4 linked regions of the Coturnix japonica genome follow. The main gene of each other region encodes a partner of the protein of the gene in region 4 in a complex. Links are inferred from orthologs where the notes say so. Each region holds a gene or a part of one and is shown on either strand. Other genes may lie near its edges.

Evidence for each region.
Region 1: the proteins of YWHAG (region 4) and CASP2 are in contact, whole or in part, in a crystal structure (PDB 6S9K), measured with the Homo sapiens proteins. The link is inferred for Coturnix japonica from reciprocal best matches to the Homo sapiens genes YWHAG and CASP2. Residues at the interface, in NP_036611.2 of Homo sapiens: Glu15, Asn43, Val47, Arg57, Arg61, Lys125, Arg132, Tyr133, Pro170, Gly174, Leu177, Asn178, Val181, Glu185, Glu213, Asp214, Lys217, Asp218, Leu221, Ile222, Leu225, Asn229, Leu232, Trp233; in NP_116764.2 of Homo sapiens: Asp137, Leu138, Ser139, Leu140, Pro141, Phe142, Pro143, Val144, Cys145, Glu146, Leu150, Lys152, Lys153, Leu154, Ser157.
Region 2: the proteins of YWHAG (region 4) and CAMKK2 are in contact, whole or in part, in a crystal structure (PDB 6Y6B), measured with the Homo sapiens proteins. The link is inferred for Coturnix japonica from reciprocal best matches to the Homo sapiens genes YWHAG and CAMKK2. Residues at the interface, in NP_036611.2 of Homo sapiens: Ser46, Val47, Lys50, Asn51, Arg57, Arg132, Tyr133, Gly174, Leu177, Asn178, Val181, Glu185, Ile222, Leu225, Asn229, Trp233; in NP_001257414.1 of Homo sapiens: Leu99, Ser100, Leu101, Gln102, Glu103, Arg104.
Region 3: the proteins of YWHAG (region 4) and HDAC4 are in contact, whole or in part, in a crystal structure (PDB 3UZD), measured with the Homo sapiens proteins. The link is inferred for Coturnix japonica from reciprocal best matches to the Homo sapiens genes YWHAG and HDAC4. Residues at the interface, in NP_036611.2 of Homo sapiens: Asn43, Leu44, Ser46, Val47, Lys50, Asn51, Arg57, Phe122, Lys125, Arg132, Tyr133, Gly174, Leu177, Asn178, Val181, Glu185, Leu221, Ile222, Leu225, Asn229, Trp233; in NP_001365345.1 of Homo sapiens: Ser348, Pro349, Ser350, Leu351, Pro352, Asn353, Ile354, Leu356.

Annotation. Positions count from the first base shown.
Region 1 is NC_029516.1:69,870,675-69,874,262, forward strand, and holds part of CASP2 (caspase-2), read right to left. Parts: intron 2,610-3,588; coding exon 2,521-2,609; intron 1,198-2,520; coding exon 1,021-1,197; intron 1-1,020. UniProt on the Homo sapiens protein: Is a regulator of the cascade of caspases responsible for apoptosis execution. Might function by either activating some proteins required for cell death or inactivating proteins necessary for cell survival.
Region 2 is NC_029530.1:4,667,087-4,670,674, reverse strand, and holds part of CAMKK2 (calcium/calmodulin-dependent protein kinase kinase 2), read left to right. Parts: intron 1-345; 5' UTR 346-472; intron 473-819; 5' UTR 820-875; coding exon 876-1,262; intron 1,263-1,936; coding exon 1,937-1,984; intron 1,985-2,311; coding exon 2,312-2,365; intron 2,366-2,481; coding exon 2,482-2,533; intron 2,534-2,633; coding exon 2,634-2,767; intron 2,768-3,356; coding exon 3,357-3,393; intron 3,394-3,588. UniProt on the Homo sapiens protein: Calcium/calmodulin-dependent protein kinase belonging to a proposed calcium-triggered signaling cascade involved in a number of cellular processes. Isoform 1, isoform 2 and isoform 3 phosphorylate CAMK1 and CAMK4. Isoform 3 phosphorylates CAMK1D.
Region 3 is NC_029522.1:3,024,561-3,028,148, forward strand, and holds part of HDAC4 (histone deacetylase 4), read left to right. Parts: intron 1-1,020; coding exon 1,021-1,278; intron 1,279-2,627; coding exon 2,628-2,814; intron 2,815-3,588. UniProt on the Homo sapiens protein: Responsible for the deacetylation of lysine residues on the N-terminal part of the core histones (H2A, H2B, H3 and H4).
Region 4 is NC_029534.1:3,142,790-3,147,136, forward strand, and holds the start of YWHAG (14-3-3 protein gamma), read left to right. Parts: upstream 1-1,512; 5' UTR 1,513-1,695; coding exon 1,696-1,782; intron 1,783-4,347. UniProt on the Homo sapiens protein: Adapter protein implicated in the regulation of a large spectrum of both general and specialized signaling pathways. Binds to a large number of partners, usually by recognition of a phosphoserine or phosphothreonine motif.

The sequences.
Region 1 (3,588 bases), on a different chromosome or scaffold from region 4:
TGGCCTCAAGTTGCGCCAGGGAGGTTCAGGTTGGGTATTAGGAAAAATTTCTTCTCTGAAAGAGCAGTCAGGCACTGGAATGGGCTGTCCAGGGAGCTGGTGGAGCCACCATACCTGGAGGTTTTAGGTATTGTACTACAGAACATGGCTTGGTGTAGAAATATTGGTGGTAGGAGGACAGTTAGACTTGATGATCTTGGAGGTCTCTTCCAACCTTGGTGACTATGTGATTCTGTGACTTCTTCCATATTGGTCAATGGTGGGGGACACAACAAATATTGGAGTTGGCATATGTGGATTTAACAAAGGAGACAGCAACTACTGCTTTACAGAGGTTTTATACTAACACTGGAGTTTGGCTGGGATATTGAAGCACTTTAACAGATGCTTACACTGGTACTTCAGACACTGAAAGCCTTATCATAATGTAGTGAAAGTTGCCTGCTTGAATAAAACACTTTTTAGCAGGTTTTGTATCACTTGGTTTCACAGTGATTTAGAGGGAATAAGAGCAAATGAAGTTGGAAAAGGCAGCAAGTGCATACCTAGAGAAAAAAAGAATGCCTTAATTCAGTCAGTCATAAAATATCAATTTTCTTAAGGAAAGCACAGCCACTTCTCTAGCAAAGCAGACTGAAAGAGTGAAAATTGCTCCAACAGTTAAAGGATAAGAAAACTTAAATTTGCAAAAACTAGGTCAAATTTGTAAAGAATAACATTTAGAATAGTAAAATACTTTAAAAGGCTATCTGGATTAACTGGAGCCTGTTCATTTGCAGCTTTAACACACATGCCAGGTATGTTCTAGATCTTACCCCATCTACTATGAGGGGTTAGTATAGACTAGTATCTCTTCTGGTCCTTTGTGACCCTACTTTATGTCAAGCGTTCTTTGCTTTTCAAGCTTCTTTGTGTTTTTTTGGTAAGCTGTGGCACATTTTCTATTTATAAGTGACCATTTCCATCTCACCATTCCACTCAGCCATACCGGCTCAAATGTGGTAGTAGGATTCACCTTACCTCTGCACTTTGATCATGAAAGACAGTCACTCGATATCCAAGATGCTTGAAAAGCAGTTCTAGGGAAGCACAGTCCACATCTCCACCTGAACGATACTCCAAGTCCTTTTCACTGTTGAAATGGATATTGCTGAGAATAAGTGCTAAGCCTCGGGGCTCTGATGTCAGCTTGTATGCCTGAGAAGAAGATTCAAAATTGGTACATTTAGACTATGTGAGGAAATAACAGAGTCTGTGTATAACACCAGTCCCCATACACCAACTTAATTACTAATGACATGTAGGATTTCTAGCTTGAGAAGGCACAAAAACAGAAGAGGTAAAATATGTATTGGTTTGTTGTTTTGTTGTTTTTTATTTTAATACAGCAAATGTTTATATTGCAAAAGATCTCAAAGGCAACTGTTTCTGCAAACTTCCACAATCAATGATCCTACAACACTATTAACAGGATGTTGTAATAGCTTGCCTTATTTCCTGTTTTATAAGGAAGACATATTCAGCATTTCAAATTGAGAGTTAGCTCTTGCTCATGCTTTTCTCCTTCCACACATACCCCATTAGGGCCAAACAAGTTTTTTGTAATACTCACCAAAGGTCCTAGGAAAACATTACACAAAATTCAGCTTACATTTCCTAATTGTGGTTGGGAGTAAGAAGAAATATAAACCAGCCTGTGAGTGAGTGCAACTGCAGCAGCAGGCATCAATAAATCACTGATCTTCAAAGTAATGAGGATGACAAGAAAAGTTAATAGGGAAAAAAACTAATGTAAGAAGTGTGTCTTCAAAACCACTTTGCCCCTTCCACTCTACCAACGAAAAACTAATAATAAATTGGTAATAACATCCCCGTGAATTGGAAGTGAAATTTAATATTGAAGAAGCATATCAAATACTGTGTAACCAGACACAGATATAAAAAGAAATTAAGCTAGACTCATGCTGATGTTGGCAAATTAGGTCTCCTAACAGTTACAAAAAAAACAAACAAACAAACCCAACACATGGAAAATGTTTTACTGAATGCAGAGCCTGTTACAGATGAGTTAAGAATTAAGTTGTAGTGTAATCCTACTAACATGACTGCACTATCACAAAAAATTCTTTATTTTCTTTGAGCCTACAGCACCACAACCTATGCTTTACAAATGGAACAAACAGAAAAATAATTATGACTATCTACATAACTTCAGAAGATAAATAAAAGGATTAGAAATTCAGCTTCTTCTGCTCACTACTGCACAGAATCCTGATCTTATTTCTGCACCTAAGGAGACATTTCCTGATACAGCAGACAATTAAAAGAGCCAGGATTGTGCCTGTGAGCTGAAAAATAGTTCTAATATTGTATTTATTTGTAAAGTCATACATAAATGCCAAAACACTAACATGTACCTATAATGAATTATTTGCTTTTACTCAGTTGTAGGTAGTGTCTATCAGTTGAAATATCTAAATATTTCACCTGTGAAGGAGATTTTCTCTATTAACTACTTACTAAGTGCTGGTGATCACGATAGAATTCTGGAGTACAGTGCTTCACTGGAGGAATCGGAGGTCCATCTCCACTGTCCAAAGAATGTTCCACTGGTTTTGTGCAAAAGAAAAATATAAATATAATTTTAAAAATTCTAGCTACAAACCCTTTGTATTAAGGTAGTTATTTGCAAATTCATAAGTATGTAGTCTAAGGCATATTCATGTCTTATACAACTCGTACGTCTGAATGTTCTTCTTGATCAAGGACATCATACATACAATCAAAAAACGAATATAAAAATACACCTTTCCAATATATTTCTAATTGGCAACAGATTATAATTTTCTGCCCATTTTGTAGAGTAACATAAAGCCTAGAAAATTTAGTTTTATTGAGTATAAAAACAGAACGCATATTGAAAATTAGAGGAGTGCTTTTCTGCCTTTTTGTACATCCATTCGCCAGTTATGCCGTGGAACTATTACTAGAAACATTCAAATAGAGTAGTGCTTTTCCATTCATAAAAGATTTCCATTCTCACTGTATACAATTCCAGATCTCCTTTTATGCTCAACATTAGTGATGAAACTAGATATTTCTAACTTCCGTAAAGTATAATGCTCTTTTTGTGTTGTTCGTCGCTGAACAACTCTTATTTCTGGTCAGGAGCAGTCAAGGTGAATGAGAATCAATTAATTAACATTAAGAGATGTGATGCTCAATCCCTTGTGCTGCAGAAACTGAGTTAATAACATTCATGGTCTCTTTTGAAATCCTTTTTAGGCATTTTGAGCATTTCTTCCAGCTGGAGAAACACATGGTCTCTAAAAAACCTATAACCTTCATACCTAAAAAAGCAACCAACAACCAAAAAAGGTTTTTGAACCTATACATGTGATCTTTAATACCAGACAGAGCTAATAGTAGTAAGCAGCACAACGCTAAAGATGTGGTTAAGGTAAATGAGTACTGTCCAGGTGTTACCAAAGATAACATAAAAACTAATAAGGAGATTCATTCCAACAACCAACTCCCTAACCCATATCACAAATGCTTGCAGATAAAGCTGATTTGCTGAATTCAATG
Region 2 (3,588 bases), on a different chromosome or scaffold from region 4:
TCAGCGCAGGAGAACGGAGCTAATTTTAACCCACTGCCTCGTGCGGAGTGGAACACCCAGCAATGCTGGGTCCTCAGCGCTGCCCCTGGGCTGGTTTGGGTTCTTATTGGGTTGCCCCTTTTGGGGTGCAGGAGGGAAGGGTGATGGCTTTGCTGTGGCATGGGCAGACCTGCTGGAGCCCTGCTCATGGATCAGGCTCACGGTGCTGCTGCCATCCACCAGCACATATGTTCAGTGTCAAGTATCCAGCATCACACAGGGATGGATTACAACCAACCAATTTCTTTTCCTTTAAAAGTACGTACATATCTGCTGCTTATACCATTGTTTTCCTTTTTATTCCAGGGTGCTAAAATCCCATTTTTGCAAAGGAGGCTGTAGGGAACTCGGGGCAAGCAGGAGAATCCCCAGTGAATGCTGTGCTGTGGGTGAAGGCAGTGAGCCCCAGGGCAGATCCCACAGCTCGTGCTTGGTAAGGGCTCAGTGCACCTCTTTCAGGGGCTGTTTGGCAAGATCTGCCCACTCTGTGCAGGGCAGCAGTGAACTGAGCAGTGTGTATACATACATAGTGCAGACCTGTGTAAAATACTGCAGCCCCAGCTGTGGGTTTCCTATAGGGGAGGTGGCTGGGATTCTATGTTCAGGGGTGAGCACAGTGATAGCAGTGCTGTTGAAGAGAGAGGACTCTGCTCAGTGCCACCCAGTTTCCTCCACTCTTACTAATATTTTACTTAATATTAGGTGAAGCCATTTATTACATGAATAATGTAATATTAGTGGCTTGCTTCATGTAGGATCCCCCTGACACTGTGCTTACAGGTGTCTGTACCCCTCGGAGCACTGACAGAGGCCGGGATGAGGCCGGCAACCTCACCATGCCATCCTGCATCCCCGGCAGCTCCCCTGCTGCCCCTCAGCCCCCACACCGCCACAGAGGGCCCGGGCTGCCGCTGAGTGCCGGCCACCCCACCATGGAGTCACTCATAGTGGTGACCGAGTGCGAGGCAACAGCAAGTGAGGAGGAGATGAGCGTGGCTGCTGTGGAGGAGAGCCGGGAGCCCAGGGCGAAGCTGAACCTCTCCGGCCGAAAGCTGTCCCTGCAGGAGCGCTCGCACCCCGCGCGCTCCCCTGGAAGTGGTGACAGCGAGCGCTTCATCTACCCATCCCTCCCCTACTCACCAGTGACATCCCCACACTCATCCCCGCGCCTGCCAAGGCGGCCGACAGTGGAATCCAACCGTGTCTCCATCACTGGGCTGCAGGTGAGGCTCTGCTCCTGTCTCCGTGTCTCGCTGCGCTGCTTCTTGCTTGGTGCTTTGGGATGGAGCCCTGTGGATAGTGGGAGGGTGTTGGTTCTGGTCCATCCCCAGCCATGGGGACAGCCCCATGTATAGCACAGAGCATCTCCCAGGGTTAATGCTGCGGTAGGAGTGCATGTTCTATATATCCCAAATGCTACCAGCTCTGGAAAATGTGCTTCGTGAGAGTAGAGCAGCTGGAAGTCACAGCCTGTCCATGCTTAACATGTATCCGCGTGTGGTCAGATTCACTTCTTTAGCTCCATGAAGGAAATGGAGATTTTGTTTGTTTGTTTGTTTTCCCCTTGAAAAGGAAGAGACCTCAGTAAAGCTTTAAGGGGATAATTGCACTGCCCACCACAGCCTTCTCAGCACCCACAGAATGCAGGCAGTGAACATCTGCAGGACAAAACAAAAACATTTGGTGCTGGGTGAGCATTAAGCCCCCAGGTGCCAGTTGCCACTGCTGCCCTTGGTGCTCTCATTTTGCATGAGCAGACAGTGCTGCCTGCCTGGTGCTCAACGCCAGTAATTAGCTGTCTATAAAAACAAGGCGGTGTGTGGCTACGTGTGGTTTATTGCTAACAAACTCTGGCCCGAGGCCTGGGCTGCTGGCTGACTCGCCTTCTCTCCCTCAGGACTGTGTCCAGCTCAACCAGTACAAGCTGAAGGATGAGATTGGGAAGGTGAATATTCTCCGGCTTTGGGGTTGGAGTGGGAATTTGGGGTGGGAATGTGCTGGATTCGCTCTTGCTTTTAAATCTTACATCAGTTGTGAGGTCAGCCCTTCACCATGGCATCTCCATTGGCTCCTCAGCGTGATGCCCATTGATTCATTTTTTAAATTAGCATTATTTTTCCCCTTTCCAACAAAATAGGGTATCTGAGCCTTTTCTTTGCCAGTCCAAGGGCACTATGCTCCCCACTGACCCCCTGCTTCGCCTGGGGTATGAAGAGGAGCCTGCCTGGTGCTGGAGTGTTTTTTGGTTGGTCACCCACGTGTCCCTCTCTAGGGCTCCTATGGGGTGGTGAAGCTGGCCTACAATGAGGATGACAACACCTACTATGTGAGTAGTGCTGCTGCCCACAGCATGTGCTGGGATTGGGATAGGGACAGGGATGGGTCTGCCTATGGCTCCCGGGGTGTTTTTTTTCCAAACCCCACCAATTTTCCCCTGTGTAGGCAATGAAGGTTCTCTCCAAGAAGAAGCTGATGAGGCAGGCAGGCTTCCCCCGTAAGTGGCACCCAGTGGTGTGACAGCTCCGGGATGGGTGGTATCTTGGGAGCAGAAGGGACTTGGTGCCATGCCCACCCTATTTTTGCCTTTCCTGTAGGCCGCCCTCCACCCCGTGGGGCCAAAGGTGCCTCAGAGGGCTGCCTGCAGCGCCGGGGCCCCATCGAGCAGGTTTACCAGGAGATTGCCATCCTGAAGAAGCTGGACCACCCCAACGTGGTGAAGCTCGTGGAGGTGAGCACAGAATCACAGAATCACAGTGACAGTCCTGTTGATGTCTTCCTTACCATAGAAGGACTTTTCTTGCCTCCTCTCACCTTTTCATTTCTGCTTGGAAATAGAAAAGCAGAAATATTTCACTTCTCTTGAGGACACAGATCAGATCTGGGGAGGAAATGGTGTTCCTGTGAGTTCTGCAGCCACGCTGCCCACCACCCAATGACAGCCTGAAAAGGTCCAGGGGAAACGAAAATTAGGAATTAAGGACGTGCAGGCTGGGATTCATTTGCCTTATGAGTCAGATGACGCTTCCTGTGTGTCTGAAATATTTATTTCCAACAACATCTTTCCTCTTATTTATCCCCCACCTTGTGGGCAGAAGCTGAGATTAGCAGAGCAAACCCACATGGTTTTAAGTTAAAATGTCACGAGTAGGACCTGAGGGTGGGCAGGCGCTCACAACCTGCCAACATCTCCCTCCTTAACTCCCTGAACCCCTGGGGGGAAAAACTGGGCAGCCTGATGAACAATCAACAAATGACAGCGTTTCTTTTGTGAGGCAGCTTCTTGCAGTGTTCCATTTCTTCTCTGCATCCTTTGGCAGGTGCTGGATGACCCCAGTGAGGACCACCTGTACATGGGTAAGTGCCCGCAGGTGCTGTTGGTGTGGGTTCCCACTGCGTTTTGGGGCAGCTGCATATGGGCCTGGGTCTCCACGGGTTTATTTTAATGTATTACTTTCATGAATTCATCATTAAAATTGTTGTTTTGGTGCTGGGACCGTGCTTGCAGGAGCTCACACCTGTATGTAGTCAGTAATCACCATTCCCTTTCTG
Region 3 (3,588 bases), on a different chromosome or scaffold from region 4:
AGCAGTATAAGGCCCTTCTGCTTATTATGCTTCTTTCAGGAGCTGAGAGATACAAAACTCAGCAATCTGCAAGTGCTATTAAGTTCTAGCCCTGCATCCTCATCCTTACAGTGCACCAATGATAAGGGAAGTTCTGAACCCCAGTTCTGAGACACCCTCTGTTGTAGTTATAAACAGTTTCTTGTTGTCCTTAGTGTGATACTTTCAGGCGATTAATCCTTAATGTGGCTTTTTTATGCCTAAATCTTCTTTGAATAGATTTGCTGAAGTTATATGGCAAAGCTTCTCTTCTTACATTTAGGGAGAAAGGCTTATTTTCAGATTTGAGTCACTGATCTTCAAAGAGTGAGTTACTTTTAAGTAGTCACTCCTGCATGTGTTCAATAACTGTGTTTTGATTTAGCTTTATTAGATTTAAAATCAATATTGCTTTTCATACCAATGACCTAATCCCTATTAAAGCTCTGCCCTGACAAGCTTTCAAAGTTCAGCCTTTTTTTTTTATAAGCTTATGAAACGAGTACAGTCTGAACTGTTTAAAAGAAAGGACATTAATCTATTTACCTTTGCTAGGTTTAAAAATAGTACACATACATTTTTGCTCCAAATAAAAGTCATGAGCGCTTTGGGACCAGAATTTCACCTCATTGATCTATTTGCAAAAGGCTTAAAGCCTGTTGAATTACAGTGAAAATTACATTGTTCCCTCTGTTTTAGCAGGCACGTTTGGAGAAGCTCGCTACCTCTTGTTAGGAAGGTCTGGTTAGAATGATGCTCTTCTTGCAGTTGGTTTCTGTAAAGGTGCTGTAAGTTTAGTGTCTTCAGGATGTAGTATTTCCTTGATAGCACTTAATGTTGAGACTAAACTGACCTTTCTGTTGTTTTAGACCTTGTTTATAATGTAGGAGCTGTAGGTCATGATCTCTCTTTTCATGAAGCTGGCTTTTTCAGGAGAGCACAGTCAACTTGACCTGCAGTGAGTTAAATGTTACTATCAATTAACCTCCTGGATGTTTACAGATAATATCAAAACCCAATGAGCCAGCTCGCCAGCATGAAAGCCACCCGGAGGAGACAGAAGAAGAGCTTCGAGAACACCAAGCCCTTTTGGAGGAGCCATACAGCGACAGAGTCTCAAGCCAAAAGGATGTCCCAGGGCTGGCTAATGTGGTGCAGGTAAAGCAAGAACCCATCGAGAGCGATGAGGAGGAAGTTGAGCCGCAGCAGGAGCTGGAGTCTGGGCAGAGGCAGGCTGAGCAGGAGCTGCTTTTCCGCCAGGTAAGCTCCTGTAGTTGAGTTGTTTAATGGCATCTGGAGGGACAGGTTCAATCTATGTATGATGTGGATGAAAGTCAAGATGATAACCAGCCTCACCTCACAGATACTTACATCTGCTAGGAGTGGGTGTCAGAAATTACTGCTGGTTACAACTGACCCTAAAAAATAGCTTCAAGATTTTCCCAGCCTTTGAACGGTGGGTTGTAATCATCATATTGGGACCAAGCTTCCCTTTTGGTGTAGAGAATGGAAAGGTTAGTGCTAAATTAGTTGGACATATGTGGCTTGTGCTTGCAGACATGTCCCTAAGAGTAGCTGCATGCAGACTACAGAAGGACAGGACTTGATGTTTGTAAGAGGACAGAGGGAGGTGTGAAAAAGCCTTGCAAGAAAGCAGTGCAATTGTTTTACAAAGTAAATCCTCATATTATCACAGCGACCATCTGGGACTTGGCTTTTTGTGACTACCCTCAACATCTTCTGAGCACTGAATACTAGCAGAGAACGCGCTCATGCAAGGCATCCTAGCAGAGGAGTTTGTTTTGTAACTCTTACATTCTAGAACAAATTAACAACTGCAGAGAAGGGCTGGATAAGGGTTGGAGTGTCAAAGGGGTTTTTTTGGAGGGGATTCCTTCTTCAGCAATGCAAATCCCTGGCATCACAGGTTTGCTCCATTTTGATGGGAAAGACCAGAGGCACTAAATCCAGTAACCATGTAGCGTAGCCTTACCTCCCAATTACATGGCAGTCTCCCAGAAAACACTGTTTGTGGTAGCATTAATGAGTGAGAAAGTTACAATTCTCTGGAGGGACCTGAAGTGCTGAGCTTGTCTTTGCAGCCCTTCGTGCCTGACTGTATCTTGAGCCTCGTGTAACCCCTGCACAGCCCTTGCAGCCAAAAACAGATTGCTGAAGCACTGCCAGCGTGTTGCTCTCAGAGTAAATCCACAGCCCTTGGCTAGGGAAGGCAGACTGGTGCCAAGCTTGCTGTTGCAATGTCTGAATCAGGTGCAAATTGCTTGCTCCGCATAGACATTTGCATTGTGCTGCTTGCTGCTGTCTCCCTGGCACTGCGGGGCTGGCTTGTGGGCCCCACATGTCACTGCCTGCAGCTCAGAGACATCTCCAGTCCCAAATTGAGGAGCACTGTCTTCATAACGATGCTGCCTTGAGGGGTTGATACCACTGCCAACCGTGCTTGTGCAAAGCAATTTCCTAGATTTATGCAATCACATGTAGGCCTCATTTCTCTAGTAAGAATAAATAAACATGATGTGAGACATGCTGCCGATGCCGGACCTTTTGTGAGGCTACCTTTGGTAGCTACCTGCTTCTCTTCCCCACAGCAAGCCCTCCTGTTGGAGCAGCAGCGCATTCACCAGCTGAGAAACTACCAGGCATCGCTGGAGGCAGCTGGCATGCCCGTCTCCTTTGGAGGCCATCGGCCCCTGTCCCGTGCACAGTCCTCACCCGCCTCGGCTACCTTCCCTATGTCCGTACAGGAGCCACCCACTAAGCCAAGGTTCACTACAGGTAATGTTGGAGGGCACTGGAAACCAATCAGTGGGGCTTTGATTGCTGTTCTGCTTCACGTTGTGTTTTTCTGCCCCATGTCCCTGCAAGGCCGTCTGTCTAAGGGCTGAGTCTCAGCTGTCTGTGGGCTCCATAATATCCTGTTGTCTTTGAGGATGTGATTGGTCATCCTAAGGGACCTTGAGGGACAGACACCCTGTAGTCCAGACAGAAAATAGTCTGCAAAAATCAATAGAAATATAGCATAGTACTTTAATTATGTATCTCCAAAAAAATAGAGGACAAGCCATACACTGTGACAAGGCTGATTTAGATGCAAGGAGGAGAGATGCAGTGTTATTGAAAAAGGACGGCGTGCCAAATGCAGTATCTGTCAGCTGTATTTTCTGCACCTTCTCCAGTCCCTGCATAATCTCATGCCATAAGTTATCCAGTTCAGGCTTTGTGCCAGACTGCCCCTCCTTCCACAGCACTCTGCCTGGGAGTCTGTGCCTGTGGGTTAGGAGAAGTGAGGTTGAGTTGGTCAATCCAAGATGTCACTGTGGAGAAACAGAATGAAGAGCGTTTTCATAACTGTTCGGTCTTCATCTCCAAACAAAAATGACGAGTGCAATTCTGTACTTGTCTCACAAGAATCCGAAATGCAAAAAAGAAGCTGTTAGTCTCCCCAGAAAGATTTGAGATGTAAATCAGGGAGGGCTTACGAGTGCCTTTTTTCCCATCAAAATCTATTCTGTCTGTTCATAAGAGATAAAAGTAAATCATGTGCAATTT
Region 4 (4,347 bases):
CCCGTGGGTCCCCATTGTCCTCCACCTCCATTTTCCATCCTCCTCCTCCATCCTCACCTTCACCTGTACCTCCAGCCACCTCCATCCCAGCCACCCCACCTCTTTCCCATCCCTCTGACCCCAAGCTCTGTGTCCCCGCTTCCTTCATGCCCCCATGGGGCATCCTACATCACTGCAGGCCCTGTCCCAGCTGCTCAGAGCCAGTCCCAATTCATGAATGCCACCACCCCTATGACCCCGCATTCAGCTCAGGATGACAATTTGAAGCAGCCCTCAGTGAGTCTCCCAGTCAGAGAGGATTTACTGCCTTCCCTTGCGGTGTCAGAAGGCATTTGCAGCACATAGCAGGGAAGGGAAGAGAACGTGAGGAGGAGGACTTGTCTTCCAGGCCATGGGAATTAACAAAGTGGCACATCCAAGTGTTCCAGAGCTATTTTAAAGCTGCGGGTGGAATGAGGGTTATTGGGTTTTTCAGGGACATCTGCAGAACAGACCCACATCCTCTGGGTCTCTGTGAGTTCTCCTACAGGGATGGTGCACAGGGAATGCTGCAGCTCCATATTATGGCCACATTATTTACAGCGTGATGGATATCGCACCCTGACCTGAGGTGGGGAAGAATGTCATCCACGTTGTGAAAAGCACCGAGTGCTGCGGTGCACTGACAGCAATACATCAGCACTGTCTCAATCTGGATCAAACACACAGCCCCATAAATAGGATACAGTGACCAGTAGGGCCAGCCACAATTGTGAGGAGCATCAATTCTACCAGACCCAGGGATCCATGTGCTAAACCAACCTTCATACACACAGTGCTGCCCCAGGGCCAGGCTGCAGACCTGACCCATGGTGGTGGGCAGCCCTGGTGGGCCCAGATGGTGTTTCTAAACTACCTGAAATACCACAAGGGATGTCACCTTCTGTGCTTCTCTTATTCACTCCAATGTTATCCATGTTGATGGACGTGCCATTATCCAACAGAGCAATGGATGTACTAAATGGCTCCATGGGTTCTTTCAGCTCCCAGACCCCCTCACACAGCGCTCCCAGCACTGAGGGCAGGCTGCAGTCCATGGATCAGCACTGAGGTGCGCACACTGTATGGCAGCCATGTCAGTGCTGATGGCGGCCACATCTCCACAGGCAGCGGCCATATCTCCACGCAGGGCAGCGCTGTGTGCGTGCTGCAGGCCTTTCTGCCTGGTTTATAGGTTGGATGGGCGTTATGGAAGGTGTGGGGCTGCTGTGGGGGCTGTTGGGCCGCGCGGGCTGAGGGCGCTGCGGGCGGTGAATCAGCAGCGGGGCGGCGGGACTGAGGGGGCGGCCTGAGGGGCGGCCATCTTGTGGCGCGCGGCGGGAGGGGCTGTATCTCCGCGCGGGGCGCGCTGGGAAATGGAGTCCTAAGAGGGGAGCGGAGCAAGGAGGGATATTACGAGGAGGACTACGAATCCCGGCGTGCCCCGCGCGGGGGCGGAGCGGCGCAGGGCGGGGCGGGGCGGGGCCGCAGGGGGGTTGTGGTGGCCCGCGGCGCGCGCACAGCTCCGGGTGCAGCCGCCGCCGCCGCCGCCGTCACCGCCACAGCAGCGCCAGGAGCCGCCGCCTCCTCCTTCCTCCTCCTTCCTTCCTCCTCCTCTCTCCTCCTCCTCCTCCTCCCGCAGTCTCCGCGCCCTTTTCCCCTCCCGGCCCCGTGAAGATGGTGGACCGCGAGCAGCTGGTGCAGAAGGCCCGGCTGGCCGAGCAAGCCGAGCGCTACGACGACATGGCGGCCGCCATGAAGAACGTGAGTAGCCGTTCCCCTTCCCCCCCACGCTCCGTTCCCCGCCGTGTCCCCGCTCCGTCCCTTTGTGCCGATCCTCAGCCCCTCGTGCTGTGCCCTATATGTGTCCTTTATCCCTGCCCCCTTTCCCCCCGCTCTCTGTCCCCTCCATTCTACGCTGTGCCTCATTTATATGCCCCCACACCCCGCTATGATCCCCATCCCCTGCCTATTCCATCATATACTGTGTCGTATCTGTGTCCCGTTTCCTTCCCCATCCGCTATGGGCTCTGTCCTATTTGTACCTCCCACCCCCTTGCCCTGATCCCCATCCTTAACCCAGTCTGTGTTTCCCATCCCCCACCCCATCCCTTTGCTCTCCCGCTCTGTGCTGCGCCCCATCCGTGTTCTCTTATCCCTTACCCAATCCCCCATCCCTTGTCCCATCTACGTTGCCATGTTCCATTTGTGTCATCTCTGCCCCAAACCCTGTCTCCAGCCTCCATCTGTGTCCCCTCTGCTCCAAACCCACCCTGTACTCCACCCATTGTGCTGTGCACAAACTCCTATACCTTGCCTTAATCCGTGTCCCCTGACCCCCATTCCATTGCCCCCCACCGTGCCCCCTTTGCCATGTCCTGCTGTGGGAGCCACCCTTGGGGTGCAGCACTGCCCATGCTTCCCCCTCTCCCAGCCCTATGGGGTGAGGCTGTGGGGCTTTGCTGCCCCATTGGCCCCTTGTGCTGCCGCTCATCCCTTCCCCGGTGCGGCTGCCGTGTCCCTGACCCCATGGAGCTGAGCTTTTAGCTGCCAGGGCTCTGATTTATTCCATATCTTTTTTGCTGCACTTGTTTCGAGATTTATGAATTGAGTCATGTTGTATTCATTTCACGCTCTTAAAATAAAGACTCTGCATATAGCAGGCTGATCTGATTTGTGACACTGAACGCTCCCCTTCAATGCTGACATTTTGACAATGTAAGAAGTAAAAAAGAAGAAGAAGGGGGGAAAAAAAAGAAAAACCAACAAAACCAGCCCATATCTCTGATCTGATCTTGCAAACAAAGCAATCGTGGGAGGCAGGATCAAGTCATTCCAGAAGATTCTGCATTTGTCATATTGCAGAGAGGCTAGACTGGGTGGAGGGAGGGAGGGGGTGCTTTAAAGGGGAAAACTGTGCTTTATGTTTGTCTCCTTAGTCAGGTCTGAACCTTTAAGAGGAGCTGGGGTGTCCTCCCTTGCTGATGAGGAGGGAATGCTGATCTAGGAGTGTCGCAGTCTGCTGGATGCAGCCCTGTTGGCTGTGTTGCACCATTTTGACAATAACCTTGCGTTTATCAAGCAGACAAAAATCATCGCAGCCCCAGAGAGGGGAGGAGGGAGGAGATGTCTTTTCAAGAAATGAAATATGGATAATTGAAACCAGATAATAGCATATGAGAACAGCCGGGCTATTCCACTGCTGCCCTATGGATTTTATACTATTTTCCGATGGCGGCATCTATCCATTTTAAGGCAGTGCCTGCTGTGTGAGCAGCTCATTGCACATGGATGGTGCGGCCATTAGCACAAAGCCAGCAGGGATATGCCCATGGATTTAACACTGGGGTTTGTGGCCATATTTCTGCCCTGTGAATTTCTCTAGCTTGCATCCCAGGGATCTGAATCTAACCCGACGTTGTTGTTACAGATTATATTTGCATTTTTTCCCTTTAGTCCTCCCCGGCCCTGGTGAAACAGTAACCGGCTTTAATGCTGCTTATCAGCTCTCCACGTTGTTCGGCCCTAAGAAAATGACTCCCAGCGGGAGCGCCGCCGCCTCCCTCCCCAGCAGACAAAAGACACAGAGCTTTGTTCCTCATTTCAGTGCAGCGCTGCCCAAACTCCGGCTCGGTCCCACGGCACTGGGCATGTCACACTTGGTTATCCCTGATCCTCCCCATCCCCCAGCTCTGGCTGTGCAGCAGGCTTGTGACCTCGCACTCATTTCCGTAGCAACGCACGGTGATGTCATATGCGCTGCTGCGAGCTGCATTGCACCCAGGTGGTAGCAGAGAGCATGCAGGCTGCATCCACACAAGGTAATGCAGGAGCAGGGCTGCATCACGTCCTCCTGGGAGCAGCATGGCAATGCCTGCATTCAATGCCTGCATTCCCTGCACAAGGAGCTTGCTGTCTGCTTGCTTCCTGCACATGGTGCTGAGAAATACAAAGCTGCTTCCCTTGTGTCAGGTGTGCTCATTACCTGCATTAGAATTCGATTTTGCTGCAGCTTGATCTCATTGTTGAGTTTGTGGTTACCTGGTAGGTCGCTGCACAGCATCCAGCCGTGCTGTTTAGCTGCTTTGTTGCTGAACGGCTGTTGGTGATGCTGTTATATACAGAGAGCAGTCTGCTGGGGCTCTCATTGTCTGCTCAATCACCAAATGCTCCTCGCTGCAGCCATGGGCTGGGTCACAGTAGTTTCTCCTGTGTAAGTTTTAGCTGCAGGTTGTAGCCACAAGTGCCAGAGATCAGAGGGAGATGTTGCTGGGCTGTGAGCTGGCCTTGCACATGTGCAACCTTGACCACGTCCCTTGCATGCCCTGC